Linked DNA regions of Rattus norvegicus. The protein of the gene in region 6 interacts with the protein of the main gene of each other region in a biochemical or structural test. Links are inferred from orthologs where the notes say so. Each region holds a gene or a part of one and is shown on either strand. Other genes may lie near its edges.

Evidence for each region.
Region 1: the proteins of Plcg1 (region 6) and Pdgfra form a complex in vitro, tested with the Homo sapiens proteins (2 studies listed by BioGRID, with this or other methods). The link is inferred for Rattus norvegicus from reciprocal best matches to the Homo sapiens genes PLCG1 and PDGFRA.
Region 2: the proteins of Plcg1 (region 6) and Fgfr1 form a complex in vitro, tested with the Homo sapiens proteins (4 studies listed by BioGRID and IntAct, with this or other methods). The link is inferred for Rattus norvegicus from reciprocal best matches to the Homo sapiens genes PLCG1 and FGFR1.
Region 3: the proteins of Plcg1 (region 6) and Erbb3 form a complex in vitro, tested with the Homo sapiens proteins (2 studies listed by BioGRID and IntAct, with this or other methods). The link is inferred for Rattus norvegicus from reciprocal best matches to the Homo sapiens genes PLCG1 and ERBB3.
Region 4: the proteins of Plcg1 (region 6) and Was form a complex in vitro, tested with the Homo sapiens proteins (2 studies listed by BioGRID). The link is inferred for Rattus norvegicus from reciprocal best matches to the Homo sapiens genes PLCG1 and WAS.
Region 5: the proteins of Plcg1 (region 6) and Bag3 form a complex in vitro, tested with the Homo sapiens proteins (2 studies listed by BioGRID). The link is inferred for Rattus norvegicus from reciprocal best matches to the Homo sapiens genes PLCG1 and BAG3.
Region 7: the proteins of Plcg1 (region 6) and Lat form a complex in vitro, tested with the Homo sapiens proteins (2 studies listed by BioGRID and IntAct, with this or other methods). The link is inferred for Rattus norvegicus from reciprocal best matches to the Homo sapiens genes PLCG1 and LAT.

Annotation. Positions count from the first base shown.
Region 1 is NC_086032.1:33,405,717-33,409,776, reverse strand, and holds the start of Pdgfra (platelet-derived growth factor receptor alpha precursor), read left to right. Parts: upstream 1-1,260; 5' UTR 1,261-1,381; intron 1,382-2,283; exon of another isoform or gene 2,284-2,552; intron 2,553-3,984; exon of another isoform or gene 3,985-4,060. UniProt on the Homo sapiens protein: Tyrosine-protein kinase that acts as a cell-surface receptor for PDGFA, PDGFB and PDGFC and plays an essential role in the regulation of embryonic development, cell proliferation, survival and chemotaxis.
Region 2 is NC_086034.1:73,197,856-73,201,355, reverse strand, and holds part of Fgfr1 (fibroblast growth factor receptor 1 precursor), read left to right. Parts: intron 1-544; coding exon 545-666; intron 667-992; coding exon 993-1,103; intron 1,104-1,464; coding exon 1,465-1,655; intron 1,656-3,058; coding exon 3,059-3,181; intron 3,182-3,419; coding exon 3,420-3,490; intron 3,491-3,500. UniProt on the Homo sapiens protein: Tyrosine-protein kinase that acts as a cell-surface receptor for fibroblast growth factors and plays an essential role in the regulation of embryonic development, cell proliferation, differentiation and migration.
Region 3 is NC_086025.1:1,593,880-1,597,379, reverse strand, and holds part of Erbb3 (receptor tyrosine-protein kinase erbB-3), read left to right. Parts: exon of another isoform or gene 1-592; intron 593-727; coding exon 728-879; intron 880-1,817; coding exon 1,818-2,004; intron 2,005-2,555; coding exon 2,556-2,681; intron 2,682-3,277; coding exon 3,278-3,343; intron 3,344-3,480; coding exon 3,481-3,500. UniProt on the Homo sapiens protein: Tyrosine-protein kinase that plays an essential role as cell surface receptor for neuregulins.
Region 4 is NC_086039.1:17,080,057-17,083,179, forward strand, and holds part of Was (actin nucleation-promoting factor WAS), read left to right. Parts: intron 1-689; coding exon 690-732; intron 733-933; coding exon 934-1,087; intron 1,088-1,530; coding exon 1,531-1,940; intron 1,941-2,158; coding exon 2,159-2,273; intron 2,274-3,123. UniProt on the Homo sapiens protein: Effector protein for Rho-type GTPases that regulates actin filament reorganization via its interaction with the Arp2/3 complex. Important for efficient actin polymerization. Possible regulator of lymphocyte and platelet function.
Region 5 is NC_086019.1:192,532,038-192,536,259, forward strand, and holds the start of Bag3 (BAG family molecular chaperone regulator 3), read left to right. Parts: upstream 1-1,422; 5' UTR 1,423-1,523; coding exon 1,524-1,709; intron 1,710-4,222. UniProt on the Homo sapiens protein: Co-chaperone and adapter protein that connects different classes of molecular chaperones including heat shock proteins 70 (HSP70s), e.g. HSPA1A/HSP70 or HSPA8/HSC70, and small heat shock proteins (sHSPs), e.g. HSPB8.
Region 6 is NC_086021.1:169,804,068-169,808,098, forward strand, and holds the start of Plcg1 (1-phosphatidylinositol 4,5-bisphosphate phosphodiesterase gamma-1), read left to right. Parts: upstream 1-1,231; 5' UTR 1,232-1,325; coding exon 1,326-1,542; intron 1,543-4,031. UniProt on the Homo sapiens protein: Mediates the production of the second messenger molecules diacylglycerol (DAG) and inositol 1,4,5-trisphosphate (IP3). Plays an important role in the regulation of intracellular signaling cascades.
Region 7 is NC_086019.1:190,369,337-190,373,574, forward strand, and holds the start of Lat (linker for activation of T-cells family member 1), read right to left. Parts: upstream 2,801-4,238; 5' UTR 2,566-2,800; coding exon 2,463-2,565; intron 2,291-2,462; coding exon 2,263-2,290; intron 2,153-2,262; coding exon 2,118-2,152; intron 1,887-2,117; coding exon 1,799-1,886; intron 1,662-1,798; coding exon 1,597-1,661; intron 1,514-1,596; coding exon 1,484-1,513; intron 1,405-1,483; coding exon 1,344-1,404; intron 1,276-1,343; coding exon 1,181-1,275; intron 1-1,180. Other genes in the region: Spns1 (protein spinster homolog 1), read right to left, coding at 3,579-3,673, 4,013-4,184. UniProt on the Homo sapiens protein: Required for TCR (T-cell antigen receptor)- and pre-TCR-mediated signaling, both in mature T-cells and during their development.

The DNA.
Region 1 (4,060 bases), on a different chromosome or scaffold from region 6:
GAAATAACCAGTGGTTATTCGACGTTTTGTTATCTACCTGACCGCCTTGTCCATTTTAATTCGGATATGAGTGAGATGGAGGTAGTGTGTGTTTGGGGGTGGTGGTGAGGATAAAGGACTACTCTCGTCGTCGTCCCCCCCCCCCCCCAAGAGCATTCAAAAAATAGAGCGCAAGTCGAAGGCCCTCCCTTCCCCCACTCGCTCTGGGAAGTGCCGCTTCGCCCAGGTTTGGTTCCTGGAGTGTCAGCGCCCCCTTTCCCTCGCCCGCAGGATCGCGGCGTCCCTACTGACTCTTCGCTGGGTGTCTCGGTTTCGTGGCTCAAACATCCCGAAAGCTTTCCTAGGGTACCTCGTGTGGGACCCACTCGGAAGGGTGGAATTTAGGAAGGTCAAAATACTTCTGCCATCCAGATGCAGAGGGCAGGCGTCCCGTAGTCACACCTAGCCTGGGCCTTTTCATATGAAGATTGAAGAAACGAGGACCAGATAACTCAGAAAACAAAGGCAGTACCAGATAAGTGGCTCCAAAGGGATAAAGGTCGTTCTTCCGGAGAACATCCATCCCAAAGGTACGCTGAGCAACCGTTATTTGCACACCATCTCACAATCCAGCCTTTCAAAAACCCATCATCTTCCTATTAGGCTCCACAGTTTCCTAATCCCATTAAAGGATTACCAACTACGCGGCACTTTCCCCTAAGACCCCCAGTTCAAAACGACGCAGCCGCATTACGATTTCTCCCCAGGGCCATATTTCTAGCGAGGCCCGGACTGCCTATAGAAGGGAGAATTTGAATTCTAGATTTATATTCGTTTTAGAAATAAGCAGTAATTTTACGTGTGTTTTCCTTTCGAAGGGAGTACAAAACTATAGCGACACCCCCCTCCCCCATTGAGAAGTCAACTCATTTTGGAAATGATGGCTGTTTGTAGTTTCATGAACCCTCTTTCCCGGCAGAACGTCAACACCTCCCCCTTCAGCCACCCCCACCCCATCTGGTTTGCCCCCCCCCGTTGTTGTTGAAGTCTGGGGGTTGGGATTGGCCCCCCTGATTGCATAAGAGCAAAAAGCCATGGAGAGGTCTGAGCCTGAGAGGTTCAGAGAGCAAGGAGGAGTCCGAGGGAAACTTTTATTTTGAAGAGACCAGGGGGGGGGGGGACTTCATTTCCTGACAGCTATTTACTTTGAGCAAATGATTAGTTTTCGGAGGATGGACTATAACATTGAATCAATTACAAAATGCGGGTTTTGAGCCCATTACTGTTGGAGCTTGAGGGAGTGAAACAAACAGAGGAACTGTGGGCGAGGACTGGAGGCTTGGGGCTCACTTTTTCCTCCGGGCTATCGGATTTTCTTAGCAAACTGACGTAGGAGGAGAAGGTAAGGGAGAGGGAAAAGTGACTTTTGTTTCTAAAGATCCCTGATCGTAAATTGGGGCTGGAAGAAGCTAAGTAACTTCAAATTTTGGGCAACGAGGAAAACAAAAACAAAAACAAAACGGCTGAATTCACTTGTGTGTCCAGAAAGTAACTTATTCTGAATAAACTTCACTGGGATGGGGGTAACCATTAGAGAGTCAAAGATTAAAAAAAAAAAAAAAAGTCCAGACCTATTTTTAAAAGCCATGTTTTTCTACACAATCCTATAGCCTCCCAAAGAAATAGTTAGGCTTACATTTTTGAGGTTTTTCTCCAGGGTGGGGGTGGCATTCGTGCTTACTGGGACGAACACCAAGTCACATTGGGGGTGGAAGTAACGGTGTTTGGCCTCTTGGCAATGGGTCGTGGAAGAGGACAGGTTTTTAATGGGTATTTCCATTCGTCGCCCGCGGTTTGGCAGGACTACGCGGTAGCGGGTGGTGTGGCGCGAAGCTTGGGGAGGGGGTACACCAGGAGAAGTGTGGGAGGAAAGGGGCGCCGGGTGGGGCGCCGGAAAGGGCTAGGAAAAAGGGAGGTGTGAAGGGCTCGGCTGGAGGAGGTCGGACCTCGGATGCCGGCCGGGCACGCTCGGCGCCAGTCGAGCCCTCGTAATTACTGGACGGCGAGGCTACTGGAAACATCTGGGGCCAGACTTGAGCGCGGCAGTGGCAGCTGCGGCACCAAGAGAGTAGTGAGCGGGCGAGGGGGTGCCTGCTCCGAGGGTTCCGGAGAGTTGGGAGCGAATTATTTGGGTGCTAGAAGCCGCTGGCGGAATCCTCAGTGCGCTGGGTTCGTGCGCCTCTCACCCAGGCGACGCAGGCGGCGGCGCGGACGAGCGATCTGGAATAATGACAAACACATTTGGCCCAGAGTGAAGAAGTCGTCCTGGCCTCGCATTCCAGCAACTGGGATTTGAGGAATTTCGAACTGCACTCCGAGGGGCCCTCATTGTGCTCCGTAGTCCCCACCCCCATTCTGCTCGCCTGAGTCTCCAGTGGACTCTTTTCTGCAGGGCCGGGGGCCTGGCTGTTGCTAGTCCTGGCCGCAGGCAGCAAAGAGGCAAGATCCCTGGCTAGGAACTGACCTCTTGGGAAGAAGTCAGGACAACTCTGAAAGGACAGACGTGGGTACAGGTAAGCAGAAATATAATAGGCCAAACACCCTCGCCTCCTGCCTACAGAATTCTGGGTGTCTCTGCCCTGGGATGATGGGTGCGTGGCACTGGTCGCCTGAATGCAATGCTCAGTGTCCTGCAAGGCTCAGGAGTGATCTCCGCGCAGCCTTCTCTCCTTTCACCGTTATCCCCATTGGAAATCAGTTTATACATGACTCCCTCCCCCGACACCCCCAACTCAAGCGGGACCGAGAAAGCAGGCGGCTCTCCCTTGGCTTTGAAGCTTCTTTCTGTTTGGAAGGGGGTGCGGGACAGTCTGCAGAGTAAGGCAGTATGGCTCGGCCCCAGTCTACAGCAGGACCAAGCCAGAGCCTCGCAGCCAGGTGTGCAGGAGTTGCCAGTGACTTAGCGACCGGCCTTGGCGAGAAAGGAAGGGCTGGCCTGTTTGTGTGCTTTGGGGCGCTCTTGCAGGACCCGCGCTTAGAAGCTCCCAGCTTTGCTAAGACCTCTAGATGTAAGGAAAATGCCTGGAAGACCTTGGTCACTCAGTCCACCCCCGGAGGGTGTGCGTGGGGGAACCCAAGCTGGGGAGGGGGCGTGGGTGGCACTTTTAAAGTCTGGGATGCCCAGCGTCGGACAGAGCTGCCCAGAAAAGTCCCAGGCTGGGCGGTGTGGGAAACGGTTTTTTTGGCTTCGTGGCGGAATTGCTCAATGTTTTGGACTGAGTTGCTTCTCCTGAATGGTTTCGGATCAGTCTTAGGCAGCCTGGAGGAGCCGGAGGAGGCCTCTAGTGTAAACCCGCACTGTGGTTCGCAGCTGCACAGCCCCAGATTTAACACCCAAAGTCGCCGAAGAGGCATGGGGCTGAGGGCACTTCTCGGGGTGCGCACCTCTTCTGCGGATGCACTGGCGTTTACATAACCTTTCTTGTGCTCGGACTTTCCCGGACCAAGGTTTTCCGTCTTCCTCCTTCCTCTCAACTTCTTTCTTTCCAGACTCCTCTTGATGAGGACTCCTTCGATGATTCCTCGACAGGGCTCTCTCTCTCTCTCTCTCTCTCTCTCTCTCTCTCTCTCTCTCTCTCTCTCTCTCTGTGTGTGTGTGTGTGTGTGTGTGTGTGCCTGTGACACACCATTGATTTGTCCCCATGGTCAGTTCCCGCTTCGGAACTCTTGCAATGGTACTGTTTTTGGATTGACCCTAGTACAGCCGAATTTATAAAGCTCACCGGAGAAGGGGGCGAACACAGCTCAACTCCACTAGTTATTGTCAGGGCTTCCCTCTGTTACTTTAGTCTGCTGACCCGCAGGGATTACACTCACAACCTGGCCTCCCAGTTCTGGGCCCAGGGGCTTCTACGGTCTTCCTGGGCGCGGGCTTGGGAGAGAAGCAGGGGGAGGGGCTTCAGGCCGAGCTTCCAGCTGCAAACGCGTCAGGCGCCGAGGCGGGCGGGCGGGATTTCTGCCTCCTGGGGACAGGACCTAGGCTGCGCGCGACCTGGGGACGTGGTGACCAGCCTTCTGCCTG
Region 2 (3,500 bases), on a different chromosome or scaffold from region 6:
TAGGCACTGAAAGAACATGATGCCTCTCTAGAAATAGCCCCACTACTTCCTGCTCTTGGTTGAGTGACATACCAAGAGGAATGCTTGATCTGGGGGCTGGAGAGGTGGCTCAGCAGGTTCAGAGCACTGATTGCTCTTCCAGAGAGGTCCTGAGTTCAATTCCCAGCAACCACATGGCGGCTTACAACTGATGCCCTCCTCTGGTGCGTCTGAAGACAGCTACGGTGTACTCATATACATAAAATAATTATTTAAAAAAAGGCTTGATCTTCTTGGTTGATGGTGTCACACACCTTTGATCCCAGAGCTCGGGAGGCAGAGGCACGCAGGTCTACCCCACATTCAGGAGGAGAGGCAGAGGTAGAGAGATCTGAGTTCAAAGCCAGCCTAATCTACAGAGCGAGTTCCAGGCCAGCCAGGGCTACCCAGAGAAACCCTGTCTTGAAAAATGGAGGTGTGGGGGGTGTTGACGTTTACCAGCCCTGACTGACACTGCCCGTTGGTCCAGTCCTAACTGTCACTCACTGCTTGTCTCCCACTCAAGACTGGTCTTAGGAAAACCGCTTGGCGAGGGCTGCTTCGGGCAGGTGGTGTTGGCCGAAGCCATCGGTCTGGATAAGGACAAACCCAACCGCGTGACCAAAGTGGCCGTGAAGATGTTGAAGTGTGAGTGGAGCTCCTGTGTCCTGTGGTCTTTTTCCTTTTGAAGGCATCCTATGATGCAGTCTCCGCTCACACCTGCTACAATCTCACCTTGATTCCTAATGTTGTCCAGGGGCTCACATGCTCTTAAATCCCATAACTGGCTGGTTTTTCTTGTGGTGGCTCTAGCCGCCTTCTGTAGCACCACAGGGTAGTGGTGGCTCCTGGTGGGAAGCAGGGGGAAGGAAGGGAGTCCTGGAGAAAAGGGGGCTCCTCCAGGATCTGTTTCCCCGGGCCCTCAGATGTCCTTTCCACCTCCCTCACCCCCCCCCTCTGGTTTGCATGTGAAGCTGATGCGACAGAGAAGGACCTGTCGGACCTGATCTCGGAGATGGAGATGATGAAAATGATCGGGAAGCACAAGAATATCATCAACCTGCTGGGGGCGTGCACACAGGATGGTAGGTGGCTCCTAGGGCAGGGAGGGGGTTTAATGTGTTATTCAGGAGCTGAGCCAGCCTGATTAGCATTCATTTAAGATTCCTTACCAACACGGAGAGGAACTATGTCATTAGCCTCTGCATTAGGGTGCCTACCCTCAGCTTTGCCTGGGAGCGTTCTGGACTATATGGTAAAAATTCTTGTTCTGGCTTTCTTTCGGGCAGAATGGCTTTACCTGTTCCCTCTGGAGGAGGCAGGAAAGAGTTTACACTGGGCATGGGAGACGGTGGGCTGTGATGTCAGGGGGAGGGGCTTCCATTACATGGCGCTCCCCTTGTTGACCTATGTCCTGACCTGTGGTCCCTACGTCTTTGCTCTCAGGTCCTCTCTATGTCATTGTGGAGTATGCCTCCAAAGGCAATCTTCGGGAGTATCTGCAGGCCCGGAGGCCTCCTGGGCTGGAGTATTGCTACAACCCCAGCCACAACCCTGAGGAACAGCTGTCTTCCAAAGATCTGGTGTCCTGTGCCTATCAGGTGGCCCGGGGCATGGAGTATCTTGCCTCGAAGAAGGTGTGGAGACTGAATACACCCCTCCCCACAAAAGGCAGGGTGGGACTGGACCCGGCTAGCTCTCCATGCTGGCCTTGAGCTCACGATCCTTCTCCCTCTGTCTCTCTGGTGCCGGGATGCTGACACAGCACTGCCCTACCTGTCTCCAGCTTATGACTGTTAATCCTTTAGAGCTGTGGTGGCATGGAGCCTGTCCCCTCGTGCTGTAGGCTCTGAGAGTTGGGAGAGCCTCTGTACCCTTGGGATCAGAGCGGATTAGGAGTCTGTGTAACCACTTTCTGCATAGACTCAGCCATTTTTAATTCGTGTTTTTCTTTTTGAAATTAAGGTCCCACTAGTTTTTGTAACAGAGGCCAGCCTCACATTCATTGTGTAGCATAGACTGGCCTGAAATGTGTAAAATGTATCCTGCCTCGGTCTCTCTCAAGGGCTGGGATTACGGAGCATGTGTCATAGAACCCAGCCTTATATCTATCTCCTTATCTCTCTCTCTCTCTCTTTCTTTGTGTGTGTCTCTCTCTGTCTCCCTCTCTCCCTCCTTTTCTCTTTCTTTCAAGATTCATTTATTTGCTGGGCAGTGGTGGCCCAAGTCTTTAATCCAAGCACTTAGGAGGCAGAGTCCAATCTCTGAGTTTGAGGATAGCCTGATAGCCTGGCCTACATAGCAAATTCTAGGACAGTTAAGACTAACAAAGAAACCCTGTCTCAAAACACTGGAAAGAAATTTTTTTTTTGTTTTGTTTTATATATATATTTGCGAGTATGCCTGAATGACAAAAGAGGCCTCAGGTCCCAATCCGGGTGGTTATAAGCGACCATGTGATTGCTGGGAATTGACCTCAGGGCCTCGGGAAGAGCAGTCCGCCGTGCTCTTCTTCTCTCCCGCCCCTGTATTTCATCAGATACAGAATAAGAATACTTGTTTCAATATAGTAGAAGTAAAATTAACCCGGCATGGTTCCAGTGCTCATGGTGTCTTTGCTTGAGCTCCGTATGCAGAGCAGACATGCCTTGCCAGGGAGGAGGGTACTCAGCACACACACCTCCACAGACTTAGCATAGCACTCAGCTAGCACCTAGCATAGGCCCAGGTGGTCTGTTTTAGAGTTACGAATCTAAAAGCTAGAGGTTAGGATCTAGAACAAAGGCATAAAGGAGGGCTTGCTACAGTCCTGGAGAAGGCTATAGTCGAAGGTGTCTGGAATTAAAGAATGTTTGTGAGGGGTCGTCTGGAGGGTATGGGAAGATCTAGAGGATATTGGGGGGGTGGGGTGGGCAGAAGGAAGACCCGTGAGATAACGCAGTCCTGCTGCCCACTACATAGGCAGTGCTGGAGTAGAGGGGACTGAATGGCTGCTCGGCAGTGCAGGGCTGTCATCTCCTCTGGTCCTTTCCCTCCTCAGTGTATACACCGAGACCTGGCTGCTAGGAATGTCCTGGTGACAGAGGATAATGTCATGAAGATCGCAGACTTTGGCCTAGCTCGAGACATTCACCATATCGACTACTATAAGAAAACCACCAATGTAAGTTTCCTGCTCGGCACGGCCCCGGGGCTCCCTGCCACTAGACTTTTGCCCACTTCGATGTTTCCTGTTGCTCTCGTGTGGGGGTTGAGTGGTCCAAGAAAAAAGGGCTTGTAGGAGGGCTGCAGATGTGTGTCCCGTACCCTGGCTCCCACCTACTTGTGTCCTCACTGCCTCAGCCATCATCTTCAGTTCGCCCCATGAGTCATCCCGCTAACACAGACGCTGCTGCTTGCAGGGCCGGCTGCCTGTGAAGTGGATGGCACCTGAGGCATTGTTTGACCGGATCTACACCCACCAGAGTGATGTGTGAGTTAGA
Region 3 (3,500 bases), on a different chromosome or scaffold from region 6:
TGCACAGTGGTGCCCAGGGAGCTGGAGCATGTTGGCTTAGGGGAGGGAATGAGAAGGGAGACCGGAGTTTGGGGAGGGGGAGGCCGCCAGTTCCTTATCGTCCAGCTTTAAAGACAAAGCTCCCATTGACCCCCCCACCCCACTACCAGGGCTTGTCCCTCCAGTGAGGTCACTTTTCTAAGCCCAAAGCTCCGGGGTAGAGGGGAGTGCTGCTAAGGATGGGGTGTCTGAGGCAGGATGGGGCAGCCCCCTCCTCCTGGATAGAATTGCTTCATTGTGGGCTGAACTGTGGCCCCGGGCACTGCCCCCACCCTCTGCCCCCATCCCACCCTCTGCAGACACAATAGGGGCTGTGTGCTAGCCCCAAAGAGATGTTTATTCCAGGGCCTAGAGAGAGGCAGGATGGGGGCAGAGAAGTAAGTGCCTTAGTTGAGGAGAGGGTAAATGTTCCTGCCTAAAGTGTCCTTTCCAGGGAGAAGAAAAGCCAAGCATGTCTTACTTCTGTATTAACCCCTCAGTGCCCAAATTAGTGCCTGAAGGAGGCACAGTGGGGGCTCTGGTGGGAAAAGAGTCCACCTTCCTGTTTGGAACGGTGAGGGAATCGGAGAAGAATCTTGTGAGAATGAGAAGCAGGGGGGCCCTTGGAGGCCTTGTCAGGGTAACTGGGACAGGGCTTTCAGACTGGGGGCACCTAACTTACCTATCTGCCTCACCTCCACTTTTACAGTGTGTCCTGGGACTCTGAACGGACTGAGTGTGACCGGAGATGCAGACAACCAGTACCAGACGCTGTACAAACTGTATGAAAAGTGTGAGGTGGTCATGGGTAACCTGGAGATTGTGCTCACAGGACACAATGCTGACCTTTCCTTCCTGCAAGTGAGTATGCACAGCCCCTCCCCCAACCTGTCCCCACTCAGCCCCATAGAGCAGGCTTGCCCTCCCTTGAGACCACCCTTTGCTGCAGTCAGCATTGCTGCAGTCAGACTTCCTAAGACTTGCACACTGTAGCTGTCTTCAGACACTCCAGAAGACGGCATCGGATCCCATTACAGATGGTTGTGAGCCACCATGTGGTTGCTGGGATTTGAACTCTGGAAGAGCAGTTAGTGCTTGTAACCACTGAGCCATCTCTCCAGCCCGACTTAGTAGTTCTTAAGGCTCAAACCTAGGGAGACAGTGACTGTAGTATGCCTATAAGCAGGGGTATATAAAAGCTGGCCACCAGGAAGGGAGAGAGCAGGTGGCGTTCTGTCAATCAGAATTGTACAGTAAGCCACCTGAGGAACCAGAGTCACCCGGAGAGGCGAGGACTCCTCACCCTTCTGTTATGACTCAGAGAAGAGATAAGTGGGGAATGTAGATCTGTGCTCATTTCTGTGGCTTGTCTTGGCTCACCGAATGGCATAGTACTGTGACAGCATATCCCTACATATCAGGGAATTCAGAGCTGGGGTTATAGCTCAGTGATGGGGTGCTTGCAGAACATACATGAGGTCCTAGAATCAGTGCCAAGTTTGGGGTTTGGGGGAGAAAAGAAAAGAAACTCAGGGAAGCTGGACACAGGACGGGAGTCAGGGGCAACTGTGGTACACTGGTGGAGAGTACTCACCAAACATCAAGGGCTTGGTGTGGTGGCGCACACCTTTGATCCCAGCACTCGTGAGGCAGAGGCAGGCAGATCTCTGTGAGTCTGTGGCTATCCTGGTTTACAAACAGTGAGAAACCAGGTCTCAAAATAAATAAATAAATAAAATAGAGTTAAAGAAGCCGGAGACCTTTTGTCCTATTCACTGCTGCGGTCTGCTCTGTCACAGTGGATCCGAGAAGTGACAGGCTACGTCCTCGTGGCCATGAATGAATTCTCTGTGCTTCCCTTGCCTAACCTCCGAGTGGTCCGGGGAACCCAGGTCTACGATGGGAAGTTCGCCATCTTTGTTATGTTGAACTACAACACCAACTCCAGCCATGCTCTGCGCCAGCTCAAGTTCACTCAGCTAACAGGTGAGTTTCTGATGCTCCCTTCCAGTCTCGCCCCTGAGCCTTCCTGCCAACAGGCACCTCGTCGATGACCCAAGACCGCTCCCTCTGGTTCGTCTGGGTGCCCACTACCTTGGTGGTCTAAAAGTCCACTACTCTTTAAGCAGTAGCTGGCCCCAGGAGGAAACTGGGGGCATCTGCTCCAGGAAGGACCTTATGTGATGGCGGGGTTGGAGTGGGAATTGAGTCTATTGATAACCCTCCTTCCCTGGAATCCTTTGCCCCAACCAATTGGAGAATGTAGGGGTTAAACAGCCTGGGCACCCGCTGCTCTCCCTGTCTCAGTTGCTTAGAAAACATTCAGGTAGGCCTAGGGGATTGAAGCAGGACGTCCTGCCCCTCCCCCACTGGCTAAACCGGATCTACACAGGTGTCTGAAGAGGCGGGAGATTCTTTAGCCTGACTCCTCCTCTTTGAGAGCCAGCTTTTCTTGAAGCTCGAATATTATTGGTAGGAAGACATAGAAGGGGAGTTGTGCTATAATTTTCAGCCTGTGACTTCTCTTCCCACCACAGAGATTCTGTCAGGGGGCGTTTACATTGAAAAGAATGACAAACTTTGCCACATGGATACAATTGACTGGAGAGACATCGTGAGGGTTCGAGGCGCTGAGATAGTGGTGAAGAACAATGGTGCGAACTGTAAGTGGATGCCATCAAGGCGGCTCACCTCGCCCCAGCAAACTGGAGCGGCTCCTTTCCCATCCCTACTCCATTCATTCCCTCATCTGAACCCACCTTCCTCAAACAGTCACCTCAGACCATTGACCCAAGAGCCTGTCAGCCAGGACCGGGTCAGTCTCCTGGAGCCCAAACCAATGGATCAGGAAAAGAGGCAGAAGTTATCTTGGGTGCTAAGCAGAGAAGCCAGATCTTTGGATTAGCTCCCTGTTGCTCTTGCCAGTATAATATCCCCTACTGCTCCAGTCCACTCAGGCACAGAATTGGCTTGTCTGGAAAGAACCAAGTTCCTGGGATGGCACCAGGCTGAGACTGGCATCTGCCCCAGTCCCTGCCTTTCAGCTGCCCAGTGGGTAGTGTGGAGGAGTAGCTAGCCCCGCCCCTTGTTGACAGGTTCACTTGAGCCCAGCCCTGCTCTCCCAGGGCAGGGAGGGACACAGCCCAGGGCTTTTGCTTCCTGGGATTGAGCTTCCTGTGTGCTGACATCATACCTTGTTGATCCAAGCAAGCCTTTCTCAGCTCTGATGGTCCGGTGTGTCCTCTTGCTTCCCAACCAGGTCCACCCTGTCACGAGGTCTGCAAGGGACGGTGCTGGGGTCCTGGACCGGACGACTGCCAGATATGTGGGTTTGAATTTTCTTGTAAAAAGTTAAAGCTCACATCCTCCCATCCCCTTTACCTGTGCAATCCTGCAAACACTTAGAATGAGCAACGGCCCCTGAATTTAGCCCTGAGCGTCGTGTGTTCTCTCTTTCCGTAGTGACCAAGACGATCTGTGCC
Region 4 (3,123 bases), on a different chromosome or scaffold from region 6:
TGGGCAGGTAGCTGGATGGGTGAGTGAATGAGGATGCAGACAGTTATGCAGATTCATTGTTTCACCCACATAGTGGACAGGGATAGAAAACTAGACAGTCAAGAGAATGAGGATAGTGTATAATGAGTGAACACACGTGTGGAGAGAACATGTAAAACAGCAAATGGATTGATTGCCAAGTGCGGTGGGGCACTTCTGTACTCCGGCACTTTTGAGATAGAAGCATTAAGGACAAGGGTTCACGGTGCCTCACAACCGTTCAGAATGGGATCCAATGCCCTCTTCTGGTGCGCAGGCGTAAGGTGCACATGCAGATGGAGTACTCATATACACAAACTAAATAAATCTTTTTAAAAAGTAGATGGAAGAAAACAACAACCCGTAGACAAGAAAGTGGGAGAAGGGAAGAGGAAGAGGAGGGAAGAGCAGTAGGAAGGAAGGAAAAGTAAATGTAGGAGTAGATGGGTAGGAAAAGAAGAGAGGAGAGACTGGTGGGCAAATCCGGAAACAGGTATGTGTAGGCAGATGGAAGGAGGGACAGAGGCATGGTCCAGCCAATGGTCTGACGGATGAATGTGAACCAAAGTATTTGCTCACTTGTTCTGGCCTTTTGGACTCCCTCTGGGAAGGAGAGGGCAAGAGGTAAAGAAGACCCTGGGGCTTGATTGACATCCCCTTCCCTTCCCTAGACACGTCAGCCACGTGGGCTGGGATCCACAGAACGGATTTGATGTGAGTAGCTCCAAACACCCCCTGACTCCACCCAGTTTCCACATACTTTCCCATTGCCCAAGGCTCGGAGCGCACGCCCAGCCCCTGCCCTTCCACAGCCCTCTTGGGTTCTTCGTTTTTATGGTTATGGTGATAATCTGTGCCCCTTCCTAATTCTCTTTCTGCTTTTAACCCCGCTCTGCTCTTTTCCCACTTGAACAGGTGAACAACCTCGACCCGGATCTGCGCAGTTTGTTCTCTAGGGCAGGGATCAGTGAGGCCCAACTCACTGACGCAGAGACCTCCAAGCTCATCTATGACTTTATTGAGGACCAGGGTGGTCTAGAGGCAGTCCGGCAGGAGATGAGGCGCCAGGGTAAGCTTTCTTTTCTCTGGTCCTGGGGGTTGTTACCCTAGAAATATATAAGAAAAAAAGAGATGAAGGGCTGGAGAGATGGCTCAGCGGTTAAGAGCACTGATTGCCCTTCTAGAGGTCCTGAGTTCAATTCCCAGCAACCACATGGTGGCTCACAACCATCTGTAATGGGATCTGGCGCCCTCTTCTGGTGCGTCTGAAGACAGTTACAGTGTACCTCTATACACAAAGTAAAAAAAAAATTTTTTTTTCCAGAGCTGGGGACCGAACCCAGGGCCTTGTGCTTGCTAGGCAAGCGCTCTACCACTGAGCTAAATCCCCAACCCCAAATTTTTTTTAAAAGAGACTTTGTTTAAAAGAAAGAAAGAAAGAAAGAAAGAAAGAAAGAAAGAAAATGAAGCTCAAAACTTATCAAACTTACGTGTTATTTTACCCCTGTGCAGAGCCACCACCACCACCACCATGCCGAGGAGGAGGAGGAAGCCAGCCCCTAAGACCCCCTGTTGGGAGTAATAAGGGTCGCTGTGGTCCACTGCCCCCTGTACCTATGGGGGGTGCTCCGCCCCCACCAACACCCCGAGTGCCCCCACCTCCGGGCCGAGGGGGTCCTCCACCACCACCCCCTCCAGCCACTGGAAGATCTGGACCACCACCTCCTCCACTCCCTGGAGCTGGGGGACCACTAGCGCCACCGCCACCTCCACCACCACCACCACCACCTCCAGTCTGCCCTGGAAGTGGGCCAGCCCCTCCCCCGCTCCCTCCTACTCCAGTGTCTGGGGTGGGGCCAGCACCTGGTGGGGGCCGGGGCGCACTTTTGGATCAAATCCGGCAAGGAATTCAGCTGAACAAGGTAAAGACGGGCAGGATAGATAACGGGGGTCTGTGTAAGTCGGAACATTGTGGGCCGTGGTTGAGATGCCGGCTTTGGGGGACCCGGTGATAAATTGGAGATTGGTGTGGTCCCTTGAAAGAGACTGGAGTGTGTGAGAGAAGAAATGAGGAAAGGGCAGGAGAAATGCTCTTCTCACAGTCCTGAGCCCGCCTCTCTGCTCCAACCTCTCGCTGCAGACCCCTGGAGCTATGGAGAACTCAGTACCGCAAGCACTCCCTCAGCAGTCAGAAGGCCTAGTGGGTGCCCTGATGCATGTCATGCAGAAGAGGAGTAAAGTCATCCACTCCTCAGGTGAGCCCACTCTGCCAGAACTGTGACCTGACCCCCGGAGCTAGTTAGAACTGGCTTGAAAACAGCTCCAGATGTCACTCTTACTGGTGACACTAGAGGCCCGTGCATATGGTGATATATGTGATGCATATGTGTAACCCAGTGCTGGAAAAGTTAAGGACGATCTTGCATTCAAGGCCAACCCGAATCAGAAAAATAACAACGGACAGAGGCTGGAGTTAAGAGCTAAGTGGTCCAGCAGTTGTCTAGCTCAAAGCCTTAGGCTCATGTCTATTCGCAGCAATGAAAGCTGACAGTCACCATCTGTGGATAACCGTAGAAACATGGATTTTGAAGGCCCTTCTCAGCATGTTGGCATCAAGTCGTCAGGCAGCAGTAATATAATTAAGTGCATCTTTGGCAATAATATTAACATTTGCCAGGGTATGCCCACAGTATGAACATTAACCGCATGTGTTCAGTGATACTAACTTTAGTTGTGTGACAAGACTTTTCTCACCCTAGATAGGGAACCCATGACAGACTGAAGGACAGATAACACCAAAGTCCAACATGGTGAATCAATGGATTTTATTAGGGTTACTTACAGGAATATGGATGAGGGGTCACTTACAGGAGCAGATATGATTCAAGACAGCTGTATCACCAGATCCCATCCCAGCATGGGTGACAGCTCATAAAAGTTGGGAGCCTGGAGCCTGCAGGCTGATAACAGGCTGGGAAGTGTCTTTCCCAAGTGACTCTGGTCTAAACCTTTTCCAGGCAGCGGGTCTGGTCTTCTTTGTGGTTGGCATGTCTTGAGAGTGACTCACGGTAGCCTGTATTGCTTGTTCTGAGAGGAAGGGGCCTG
Region 5 (4,222 bases), on a different chromosome or scaffold from region 6:
CTTCAAAAAATATCAATATTTCTTTATTGAAGATGGACTCTGGACCTGGACCTAGCCGTGTGCTGGGTGGGTTCAGGTATAAAGAAGCAAAAGACAGACGCTGGTCAGTGAATGAATCTAAGAGTCCAGACCTTTCAATGTGACTATCAAATGATAAGCCCACATTCGGGCTTACACAGATGTGTTTGGTGACGCCAGTCAGTCCCTGAAGGCTAGCTATGTTAATATTTATACCGAAGCTTTGAGACTTTAGAGTCAGTAAGAAGGTCTTTGGAAGTTTAAAAAAAAAAAAATCAGCTCTTTGACGATGTCTGGCAGAGTATTTGCTACAGAATAAAAATCTGAGGGGACGAGGCCAGAGATGGTATCTTTGAAGGTCCCAGGATATTCTCTGAATCTGCGTTGGGAAATTGGGCTCAGTATTAGTTCCAGGAGGTTCTGAAGTGAGGGAATGAGTTTGCACGCTAAGAACCTGAGCTGGATCCCCCGAACATTCTCTCTCTGGAGGGCACTGGGAACCAGATGGGTAATGGGATTAGAAGTCGATTGTCACTTACACAAACAAAATTGCAGGGTGTGGTGTGATCCTTATTTTCCAAATCAGAGTCCACCTTTATCATTAAAAACAAAACCAAACAAACCCCAGGGATTATAAATTTTAAGGCTAGTCACTATGCGAATGTGTCTATATCATAGAGTAAGCCAAGAGCACAAAGCTGTCCTATCAGTCCTTAGTTCTTCAGTTTCCCAAAGCAGGCAGGTGAGTTTCCACAGTACTTTCTTTTTGTTGTGACGTCAGATCAGCATTCCAGAACTCCTAGGGAGAAGTCCTAAGGCCCTTGAGAAAAAGTTATTAAAAACGTCACTGCAGGACGCCAGCGTCACTGAATATTAGCGTACTTGGGAGTGGGGAAGATCTAGACTTTCCGAGTTTAAAGATGATTTAGTCCTTACGCAGAGGTGGGGCCCTAGGCGTCAGCCCTTGGACTGCCAGCCCCGGGACACCCCACGCGGCAACGAATAAGTGTTGAGGAGTCCAGAGACCGAAACTAGCCAAGGATCACAAGGACACCGGTGCGCGTCCACCGGGCGCGAGGCGCACAGGCCCCGGGACGCACTCAGGACAGGGGTAGGGAGGGACAGCCAGAGAAGACTAGAAGGAGGGACGGGTGACAAATCCCCGCCTCCAATCCCTCCCACGGTCCCGCCCCGCCGCGATTATAGCCGATGACTCAGGGCGGAGTTCCGCATCCAACCCACGGCGGCCGCCAAGTTCTCTGGATGGGACCAGAAGTTTCTAGCCGGCCAGTTGCTGCCTTCTCTTTATCTCCTCCTTCCCCTTTGGCAGCTAGGAGGCTATTTCCAGACACTTCCACCCCTCTTCGGCCACGTCACCCAGTCCTTTAATTCATAAAGGTGCCCGCACCGGCTTCCCGGACACATCGGCTACACAGAGGTGCCCGCACTCCACGACCTCGTGACCCGCGCCCTAGCTCTGCGCCCCGGGCGGACCCCAACTAAGCATGAGCGCCGCCACCCAGTCGCCGGTGATGCAGATGGCGTCCGGCAACGGAGCCAGCGACCGAGACCCCCTGCCCCCGGGCTGGGAGATCAAGATCGACCCGCAGACCGGCTGGCCCTTCTTCGTGGACCACAACAGCCGCACCACGACGTGGAACGACCCGCGTGTGCCCCCCGAGGGCCCTAAGGTGAGTGGAACTAGACGTCCCACCTCGACGGTGAAGGGGCCTGGTCGAGCCAGGGCTACGCGAGTCACTTCACTCGGCGCCCTGCTGCGCCAGGAGAGTCCCTAACCGTACCGGCCCTGGACCGGCGTCGGGCCCCGGAGAACCTTGGGCGGGGTGGCCTTGGAGGGTAGCCAGCGAGGTGCGACCCGCTCGGTGACATCGGGTGGTTTTCCACAGCCTCTTGCGAGGGGCGAAGGGCAGGTGGTGGCCTGAGCTGCGGTGCGCCGGGTCCTATGGAAGGGCGACGGGCCTGATGAGCGGCTGAGGCCCAGGCCAGGCTCCGCCGCGACTGTCTGGTCCGGTACTGAGACCCTCGGCTCCCTCCGGTGCTGGTGGCGCACGGCCAGGTTTGCAAGGCTGCTGAGTGGAGTCCTGTGTGGATTTCGCCTTCAAGTTCAGAACTTAGTTGAGGGTTATCCTGACTTTATTGGATCTTAGGCATAGAGTGACTCAGGAGGAGGCTCGAGTAAGTAACTTATTTTCCTCCACTAAACTTATTACTGGTTGAAACTGCTTTCAGTTAGAGGTATTCTGATACTACTCCTTTTTTTTTTAAATAAAGATATTGTTTCTGGCAGTTTCAAAACTAGAGAATCAGATATTATATCCATACTTAGCCGTTGGCTTAAGACATTGCCTCACACTGGAGAGAAAGAGAATGTATTTTTAATGGCGTGATTCCTTGTTATTGTAGTTTTCAAATACTGGAGATTGTTGCCAGAAGCAGCTGAGGAGTCTTGTGAACAGCAGGTGTATGCTTCATTTACATATATATTCAGGCTTGTGTGCCTCAGTGTCAAGAGCAAAAAAATTTGAAAATACAAATTTGGAAATAAGCCTGACCTGGTTCAGGCTTGTCATCCCAGCACCCAGGAGGCTGAGGCGGGAGGATCTTGAGTTCAAGTCTAGCTTAGGCTATATAACCAGAATCTATCCTAAAAGTTATTTAGTAATTAAATTTGGAATGAAACTAGCCTGTGTTGTGAAATAAGACCCTCCCATCTTAAAAAAAAAATCAATTAAATTTTGAAAAGAGCTAAAAACACAAACTTAGGTAAGATTTTTGTTTGTTTGTTTTAGTTTTCGAGACAGGGTTTCTCTGTGTAGTGTTGGCTATCCTGGAACTCACTCTGACCAAGCTGTCCTGGAACTCACAGAGATCCTCCTGCCTCTGCCTCCTGAGGCATGAGCCACCGCCACCTGACTAGGTAGGATCTTTGAAAATAATAAAATTAACAGAAGTCATATTTAGTATACCGTTCAGTAATGATTTATGTAAATTTGGTCTTTTCAAAATGAAAAGTTTTGAAAAATAAGTACACTTTTTAAAAGACTCTAACCTGGCCCTGACCTGGTGGTGCACAGCTTTAATCCCAGCACTGGGAGGCAGAGGCAGGTGGATCTCTTGAGTTCAAGTCCAGCCTGGTCTATAGAAAAACATTGCCTCAAACAAAACAAAACAAAACCAAACAAGAAGAAATACAAACTTACTGCTTTCTGGAAAAAAATAAAAGCAGTAAAGAGTTTATTTATTATTTGGTATTTTAAAAAACTCACCCAATTAAAAATGCTTTATAAATCATTATCTTACAAAAAATCTAGTTTGGTTTTTATGTGTATGGTGATAGGGACTGAACCCAGGGCCTTGAGAACTTCAGTCAAGCATTTTCCTTACAACTATTGCTACAACTTTACTATCCAGCAGTGAGCCACATACTTGGCAGTTTACATTTACAAGAAATTAATTGTATATTTCTGGAAATTATTACTATAAGAGGCTATAATTTGGGATGGACATAATTTCGTGTATCTCTGTGCGTGTGCACGTGTGTGTGTGCATGTGTGTGTGCATGTGTGTGTGTGTGTGTGTGTGTGTGTGTGTCCGTTTCATCCATTATTGGGTAAAAGGTTCTCTTGAAACTAGCCGTCTTCAGACTGCATGGGGAGTAGAAGCCCCCCAGTGTGTATTTTGAGGCCTCCTTCCTATAGCTACAGGCAGGATCTCAACCCTCTGGCACCCTTCGTTGGGAGTGAAGATCAAGTTTGAGCACATCATGCTACTGCTTAGCCAATGTGTCAGGATTTGCTGTAGACACTAGGTGGATGCTTTAGGCTGGATTTTCATAAATCTGTGTGAGATAAAAAAACAAACAAAAGAAATTAACTTTCTGCTCTTATGAAGCAGAGAGTGCAAAACGTTAAATCAGATGTTTTGGGCTTGAAAAAAAATGAAAGTTTCATCATTATAGTTTTAAACTTGAAAGGTCCTTAACAGTGTCCCCCTCCCTTCTGCATAAGGAAACGCAGAGAATTCACGTGTGTTTCTGAAGGTCACCCGCCAACCCCAATAGAGAGAGAGGGGCAAGTGGACGGACCAGTTAGAAGAGGCTGAGTTTGTTCAGAAGTGGCTTGAATTTGTATGAAACCGAAGTGTGCTGACCTCTGTGCTGTGCTAGTCTGAGTTTTGATGGTTG
Region 6 (4,031 bases):
AAGGGGAACGACGAAGCTGTGCTGATTTGAAGCACAGTGGGAATTCACGTACTTAACTGAAAGGATTGAATTTCATTTTATTGGTAAATTCTGAAGCAGATGCAGGCAAGACCTAAGAGGATAGTGTACAGAGAGAAGATGGGGCTTCAGGATCGTTGGTAGACTAGAGAGAGCCCCAAAGGCTCGAGGAGGGAAGAACCTCAGTGGATTATCTAGGAGTGAGGCAGAAAAGAACAAAGGTTCCTGGCAAGGCGTGGGGCCTTCTAAACTCAGGGGTTCGCTGCCATATAGAGAAGGTGTAGCTGCTGGAAGGAGCCATGTGATGAGGATGGGAAGGCTGTGGCGCAGATAGTGAGATGCCTGGGTCGGGAGGTCAGGGGAGACCCAGGATTGGCGTCACCTGTCTGCGCAGAGGTGAAGCCACCAGGCAACTGGCCCAGCACTGAGTCCAGAAGAAAACAAGGCTAAGATAAAACCAGAGCTTCGGAGACTATCAGCATGCAGGTAGGGCGAGGACGAAGCGTGAGGAGGGCAGCGGTCCACGCGAGAGGCCTCGAAGGCCACCGGGCCCGCGTCCGAGGGTCTGAGGTGCCTGCCCACACCTGCAGGGCCTCTTCCCGAGAAGACACCCTCGAAGGCCAATCTAGGATCGGTCTGCTCAGCCCTCGCAAAAGACGTCTGTGGGGAGGGGGCGTGGCGGCGTGCTGTCACTCACTGCCCGCTAGCCAATCCACGGGTGCGCCCCTCCCCGGAGAGGGTGCGCGGAGGGCCCGCCCCCGCCGCCACCGCGGGTGTGAGGCGGCCAGCCTGGCGCGGCTCCCTCCGCCAGGCAGCCTGCCCAGGTAACCCGGTTCGGCGGGAGGGTCGGGGGTCGCGCGGCACCCTCCACTCCCTGGGAGGCGCGCACGCTGCAGTGGGGCCGGTGCGGGCCGGAGGCCCGTGCGCGCAGCTGACTGACGGGCCGCAGCCTGTGGGCGGGGTTGCGTGCGTGACGGGCGGTTGTACCCCGCGTTGTGTCAGGCCTGCGCGGGGAAAGCTCGGCAGGACCGAGGTGTGTTAAGTCCGCCTTCTGCGGCCTGCCCCGGGTCGCGGGGCGCAGGCGCGGCGGTGGGCGGGGGTCGTCCCTTGGAGCGCCTTTGTTCCCGGCGCGCTGAGGGCGGAGCCGAGCCCCGCCCCGCCCCCGCGCTCAGTCCCCGCCCCGCGTCCGCCCGCAGGAGCTGCCACCGGGTCCCGCTCGCCTCCCGGGCCGCCGCCGCCGCCTCCGCCTCCGCCTCCGCCTCCGCCGCCCCGGGCCCGCCGGCTTGCGTCGCCGAGGTCGCTGCAGCATGGCGGGCGTCGGGACCCCCTGCGCCAACGGCTGCGGGCCCAGCGCGCCCTCCGAAGCGGAGGTGCTGCACCTCTGCCGCAGCCTCGAGGTGGGCACCGTCATGACTTTGTTCTACTCCAAGAAGTCGCAGCGGCCAGAACGGAAGACCTTCCAGGTCAAGTTGGAGACGCGCCAGATCACATGGAGCCGCGGTGCGGACAAAATCGAGGGGTCCAGTAAGTGCGTTCCAGTCCGGCCTGTCTCGCGCCCGCCCGCCTCCCAAACACTTGGGCAAACTTTCGGGCCTCGCGCCTGGCGCCCCATCTCCGCCCAGTCCCTGGTGGTCACTCTGGGGCGGGTGGGGGGGCATCCGGGTCTTGGATCACCTGATAGGACACCCCCTCGCCCAGCAGGGGGGAGTGTTCCAGGCACTTTGCCCTGAGGCCTAAAAGTCCTCACTGTTTGGACAAGTGGAGTGGGATTCTGGCTCCTAGAATTGGGCGGTTGTCAGCGGCTTTGAGGGCAAGCCAAGGCAGGGAACCCCTCATCCAACCTGAGAACCTGGGGAACTGACAAGACCTTACTGACCATTGCCCTTTCTCCAGAGAGTGTTGTCTGTGAGGAACTCAGAGCTCCGGGATGGGCTTATTGGCACCAGAACCTTTGGAATCCTCATGTAGAACTTAGGCAGATGTTGGGGTAGGGCTGGTTGTGGAGCACAGCGGGCCTACTCATCTCCCTCTTGGAGACGGGGAAGAACGTGGTCCTTTGGGAGGGCGGGGTACAAAAAGCTAAAACAGTGGCTGCTTTTTTAGCTCCCGTGGATGCTTTTTTTTTTTTTTTGTCCCAAATCTGAGTTTTGGAGGTCCATGGCAGATGTCCAAAGCCAGAGCCGGGATTCCAGGTTGAGCTACCAGACGCCTTTGCCCTTGCAGCATTTAACGAGGAACTTGCATTCAGAAAGGTTTTCCAGTCTTGGGGTTCTCCTCTTCAGAGCTGACAGCCAGTTTGAGGTTGGGCCCTTTGTGTCGGATGTTCTAGTGACCACAGGGTGGCCCAGAGTTGCTCCCCTGGTTTTCCTGTCTTAGTCTTCCCAGACCTGAGTTTAGTGGGTTTACACAAGTCTCTGGTGGGAGTAGTGAATAAGGGGTTTTGAGAAACCTCAACTCTTTCTGATAACCATTTCCCTCGGTGTGAGGCTGGGTGGGCACTCAGCTCTGTCCTCCCGTTTGAGGAAATGATGCATTTGCAACTCCAGGCTTTGAGATGTGTCTTGCAAAAACCCCCAAAGAGACTATGGTTGAAGAGACCTAGCCTCAGAACCAGGTCTGTGTTAGAGAAGGGGGTTGGTGTCAGGAAGTAACAACAGAGAGAAGCTCCCACAGATCTTCCTGGGTATGGTGTCTATGTGTGTAGATGGGTGAGGAGATGAAGAGGAAGGGAAGGTTTCTGTGGTAAGGCAGCCATCCTCAACTACAAACTTCAGGTCTGACATAGCTGCCAAACAGAAATGGCACTTAACCATCAACAGTGGCCGGCCCCATCAGCCCTGGACTCCACTGGAAGAACATTTCAGTGATTTTTCAGTGTTGGGGGATGGTACTGCAGACAGTTCCTGTAGTCCTGAGAACATCACTCAGACATCAGGTTGCGGGCATGGCATTTTACATCTGTAGTATTTCCTGTGTTTAAGTGGTGGCATTAGTTCCCTGGTAGCTAGCTCTTGGTAACAGCTGTGTTGTAAACCGTGTGTGTGTGAGACCAGTAGACAGTAAGTGTAGTCCATGGTTAAAGACAGGTTTGCGTTTGAAGCCTGGATGTTAGCTGTACATCACCCAGACAGGTGCTTTCTTTCTCTGAGCCTTGGTTCCTCTGTGAGTTATAGAAGTGCATTTATTATAAATGGTCACTCTTGGAAGTGAGATAGTTGATGTCAAGTAAACTAAATATGTAGTAGATGTGAGCAGAGACATGGCAGATGTTTAAGGACCAGTTATTAGCAGCGGTAGCTATAGCTGATGCTTGTCCTCCTAGACCTGGGATGAGGCAGGGTGGGGGGCTCTGAGGGAGGTCTAATGTGGCTGTTAGGGGGAACAAAGGGCTTGGAGGTAGGGGGGCCGAGAGAGGTTCACATTCCCCTTAACTCATTACTCAGTAAGAAAGAGGAAACCTTCATTTTGTCGCACATCATTTACTCATCCACTCACCTGCCTTGTAGAAGGTGTTTCTGTAGAGAAAGTGTTTGGAGTTTTGTACATTGGATGTCATTGTGAATTGGGGCCTGGACAGAAAGAAGGGATTTAGAGACAGAACCATATAGTCCATTTTGTCTCACTCGGGTCTTTGAGGTTGGGTGGCAGGAATACAGAGGACGTAATCTTCCCAGACCCACAAGGGTCATCCAGAGATGTGCATGTTTTCCTTGGGTCTAGCTCTATGATTTTTGGGGTTCAGAATGAAGGCTGGCAGACTAGTCTGTGTGGACTTCACACCTTGTGAATGGATCTCCCCACCGAAGCCTTGCCCCACTTCTGCCCACATGCACCTCACTGCCTTGGTGGGTTCCCAAACCTGCAGCCTCCTGCAGATTGTGAAAAGGATTGAGTTGCCAGCCGGAACCCCTACTGCTGTCTGGTCTCTTGTTCAAATACCCCAGGTATTTTGACTTTTTGGTGATAACCTCAACCCTGCCTGAAGCCAGGCCAGAGAGGAAGACAACGGCTGC
Region 7 (4,238 bases), on a different chromosome or scaffold from region 6:
ACAACAACAAAACCAGAGCCAGATTACAGACATGATAGTCTAGGGTAAATAGTCTAGGGTAAATGCAGAAGGTTGGGTGTTTCTGAATTAAAACTCCAAAATTCAGCATATTCCAAATCCAAAACCCTTTAAGTACTCGTGCATTACCACAAATGGAAAATTCCATGAAACTTTGATTTCATGCAAAAGATTTTCAAGACTGAGCATGGTAACCTACACCTTTAATTTGAGTTCGAGTCTACTTGGTCTACATATCAAGTTCCAGGACAGCCAGGACTAGACCATGAAGCCCGATGTCAATAAAACTAAGACAAAACAAAAACCTACCTTCAGACTTGGTATATATTATATAATGGTGTATATAAAACATAAGTGAATTAATCTCATGTTTAATCTTGAGTTTCATATTCAAAAGAATTTATTATATATTTATAAATATTTCTAAATCTGTATCGAAGTGTTTCAGGTAAAGGATACTCATGCTATGCAGAGACAAGAGGGTAGAAAACTGAAGATCACCAGACCTTGAGGAAAGTTCAGGGAAGGAGAAAGACCAAAGCAGAGAAAAGCGGTCCAAGAGAAACAAAGACCATGTGGGTACGCAGAAGACATCTTCAGTGAGAGGGGGTGAGAGACAGACAGATATGCAGAACGACAGAGACAGAGACAAGAGAGAGACACAGAGAGAAACAATCTGTAATCAAAGTTCTTACAGACACATTAGATGATATTGCTTCCAAGAAACAAGAACAGGGTACTATACAAAAAGAACTGAGGGGGGACTTTCAGATAAGAGAAATGGATTCTTTTATTTTCTTTTTGTTGATCGTAGTGCTGTTTTGGTTTCTGAAGAGAGGGTATCACTATGTAGCCCAGGCTAACCTCCAACTCAACCCTCCTGCCATAGCCTCCTGATGCTGGGAATATAGGCATGCACCCCCACATCCAGCCGAGAAATGAAATTTCAATGGAAGGGTTCAAGAAGAGTCAGGAAATCTCTTGGACAACAGAGAGGAGGGAGCAAAGGTGAAAGGAAAAACAAGACAATGGAAGGTGGAGAGCAGGAAGCTGGACATCTGAAGGAGGAAATGGAAGAGCGGCAATCATTACAGAGACAGAGGGAGGGAAGGAGAGGCTGGCAGCACATGGCGGAAGGAGGTAGACAGAAAGCCTGACTCACTAGAGAAGGCACTGTCTCCAAGGTCAGGGTTGCTGGGCACCGGAGCAGAGGAGACAACAGGGACGGCAGCAGGACTACTGTCAGGCAGCACCACTCTGGAAGGAAGGAATGAGTTGATAAAGGGTACCCAACTTCCACGGCCACCTCCCACCTCCCCACTCACAGGTAGCCCTCAGGATAGTCATCTTCATCCTCATCTTCATCCACGTTCTTACGGGCTGGCTCTATGAGGAAGGGGAGTCAACATGACCTGGACAGCTCCAGCCTCCCCACCCCACCCACTACCCTAGACCCCAGACCCACCCTGGTTCTCGTAGCTCGCCACACTGTTGGCTTCAAAGAGAGAGGGAAAGGAAGACCGAGTCAGCTCAGGTTGCACTTCCTCCCCAACGCCCTCCTGTGCTCTACACCCTTACCATCATCTGAATTCTGCCGGGAAGATGGCATCCGATGGGAGCCCCCGAGGGGCTGTGGGGATCTCCTGGAAGCCAAAGGCCAGAGATTACATCTGGGTAGGCCTCTGGGAGCAAGAGGGGTTAAACCAGGAAAAAGTGCCTCCCCAACCTAGAAGGTGTGGAAGCACAGTAGATCCGAGGGAGGGAGTTGGGGGATACTCACGGAATGGGGAGCAGGTCTGGCTGCCTCAGGGGTGGGAAGGAAGTGACAAGAGGGTAGGAAGTAGCAGGTGTTCGGGGGACGGTTATTTCTGAGGACACAGAGCAAAGAAAGCTTGAAGGGATGATGCCAGACATCCCCCCACCCTCATCAAGGCCTCTAAGGACAGATGTACCCCTGAAAACCATGCCCTAGACAGACATTGGGGCTCCCACTTCCCCCTATCCCAAGCCAGGTAATAACCCTTCAGACAGCTAAAGATGAACAGGACAAAGGCACAATCTTAAGAAACCTCGAGGAAGGCCAGGGTCACGGAACTCACGAGGTGGTTTGATGAGGATGCTCCTTGGGTACAAACTGGCAAGAAAGAGATAGCCTGAGTACAAGGGCTTGGGCCTTGGGCCCCAGCCCCAAGTCCTTGATTGGAACAAAGGGAAGACACACAGGGCCATGGGTTTGCCACTCACCTCTCTGTGGAAGCACTGTCATAGGAGGCTAGAGGAGAGACAGCCAATGAGGCAGGATCAGGTACATTGGAACAAGACACGCAGGTCCCCCACCCCCACCCAGGACTGAAGTAGGGACAGTTGGAGGGTGAAGGGCCGGGGACGGCATGAGGATTCGATGGAGTGTCCAGCATCCCGTTTGCCCAAAGCTCCCCACTTACCTGGCAACTCACGGCAGCGCACGCATAGGGCAGCCAGGAGCATGACCACGAAGGGCAGCAGCAGGAGGCCCAGCTCCACAGGGCTCAAGGCGTCTGCTTCCATCTGCAGAGCACCTGCCCCAGGCCCTGCTGCACCGCAGCCCCTGGAGGGGTGTGGGACCAAGCGGGCCCCAGCCTGGGATCCAGCAGCCGGCAGCTGCGTCTGCTCTCTTGCTCGACTGAGTTGAGATTAGCGTTGGCTCCGGAAAGGTGTTAGTCCCGGAGCCAGCGCTGGGGCCTGTGCCCCAGCCACCAGCTGCACGATCCCTGTGCCCAGCTGTACCTGCCTTTCTTGCTCCCCGCCTGCCTCTCCTTCTCACCACCCGCGTGCGACAGGAAGCTGTGGTGAGGGCAGGAAATCATCAGGCTCCTCAGCCGGCTGAGCCTGCCCCCTGCCCACTCACCCCCACCCAGTTGTGGGAAGGGGGAGGAGGCAAAGGGACTGTGTGAAGGAAGGGTCTGAGGCTGCAGAATGAGGCAACCCCTCCACTAGGAAAGGAGACACGTGCCAACCAGGCCAGCTGTAGCCTCCTCAGGTGGGAGAACTGCAAGGAGGCTCTGCCAGGGCCTGTGTGGACCAAGGGTACCACTGCCCCCAGCTCCTAGGCTCACGTACTGGGAGAGCGACTTCCAGAGGACCACGGTGAGTCACGGTCACACCGAGCCAGCTCACTCAGAAAAGAGCAGCCCTCCTTCTAGATTACCAAGCCCAGAAGACAGGGACTTACCCACAGGGTGACCTGACAGCCCCTGGTGAATCCGGAGGCTACAGATATTTCCCTGAAGCCAGTGGCAGCCACAGAGAGACAAGCAGTCAGTCGGGAGTCTGATTACAAATTTTATTTACATCCGTTACAAATAGCACCAAACCCCTTGGGCTACCCTAGTAGAGAGGACAACCCCCATTTCTGGACACCCATCTCTTCCCTGGGCTGCCCATGTAGTGTCTGGGAGCTGGGATCTATCCCAGGGCTTCCTTCTTGGACCTGGGCCTGGTGAGGGCTTCTGCCTGGGAACCGTTTGGGGTGGGCCCAGGACCAGCTGTGACATCTATGGCTGGGCTCGAGCAACGGCTCCTCAGATGAGCACACTGGACACAGGGACTCGGGTAGAACGGCCTCGCTGAGGTACCACAATCTGGTCATCTGAGGGCTCGGTCTCATGCAACAGACCTTTGAGAAAGGGATCAGAGCCAAAGCCAGTAAGATAAGAGCCAGCAAGGGGACAGAGGACAAACAGGCAGAGGAATACAGACGAAACAGCAGTGAGGGCCCTCAGAACTGCACACAGGCAGAAAGTCCAATCCACTTTCTGATAGACTCAATGCTGAGCTGGATGAGCCAGGGAAGCTGGGCTCTTGCCCCTGGCAGGTAGCTGGTGGCATGAATGTATGGGACAGTCTGAGTGGAGGGAGAACCGTGGAACGTGTACTTGGAGGCTGACAGACAGGCAGATGGACAGACAGACAGATGGCACTGTGAAGGTAGACCCTGACAGTGGCCCTCACTGACCCTGCACGTGGAGTTGTGCCCGCCGGCGGTCATTCTCAATGAACATGGCGGTGCCCAGGAAGGCCGCGCCACCCAGGGCCCCGACGAAAGCACAGAGCATGAGAGAGAACTGCAGAGCCCGGAACTCGGACAGGAAGGAAGGGGGCCAGCTCCTTCGGAGGCGGTCAGAGATCTGCAGGGAGAGGAGAGTCAGAGACACGGGGATGTGGAGCCCTGACCAAGAAAA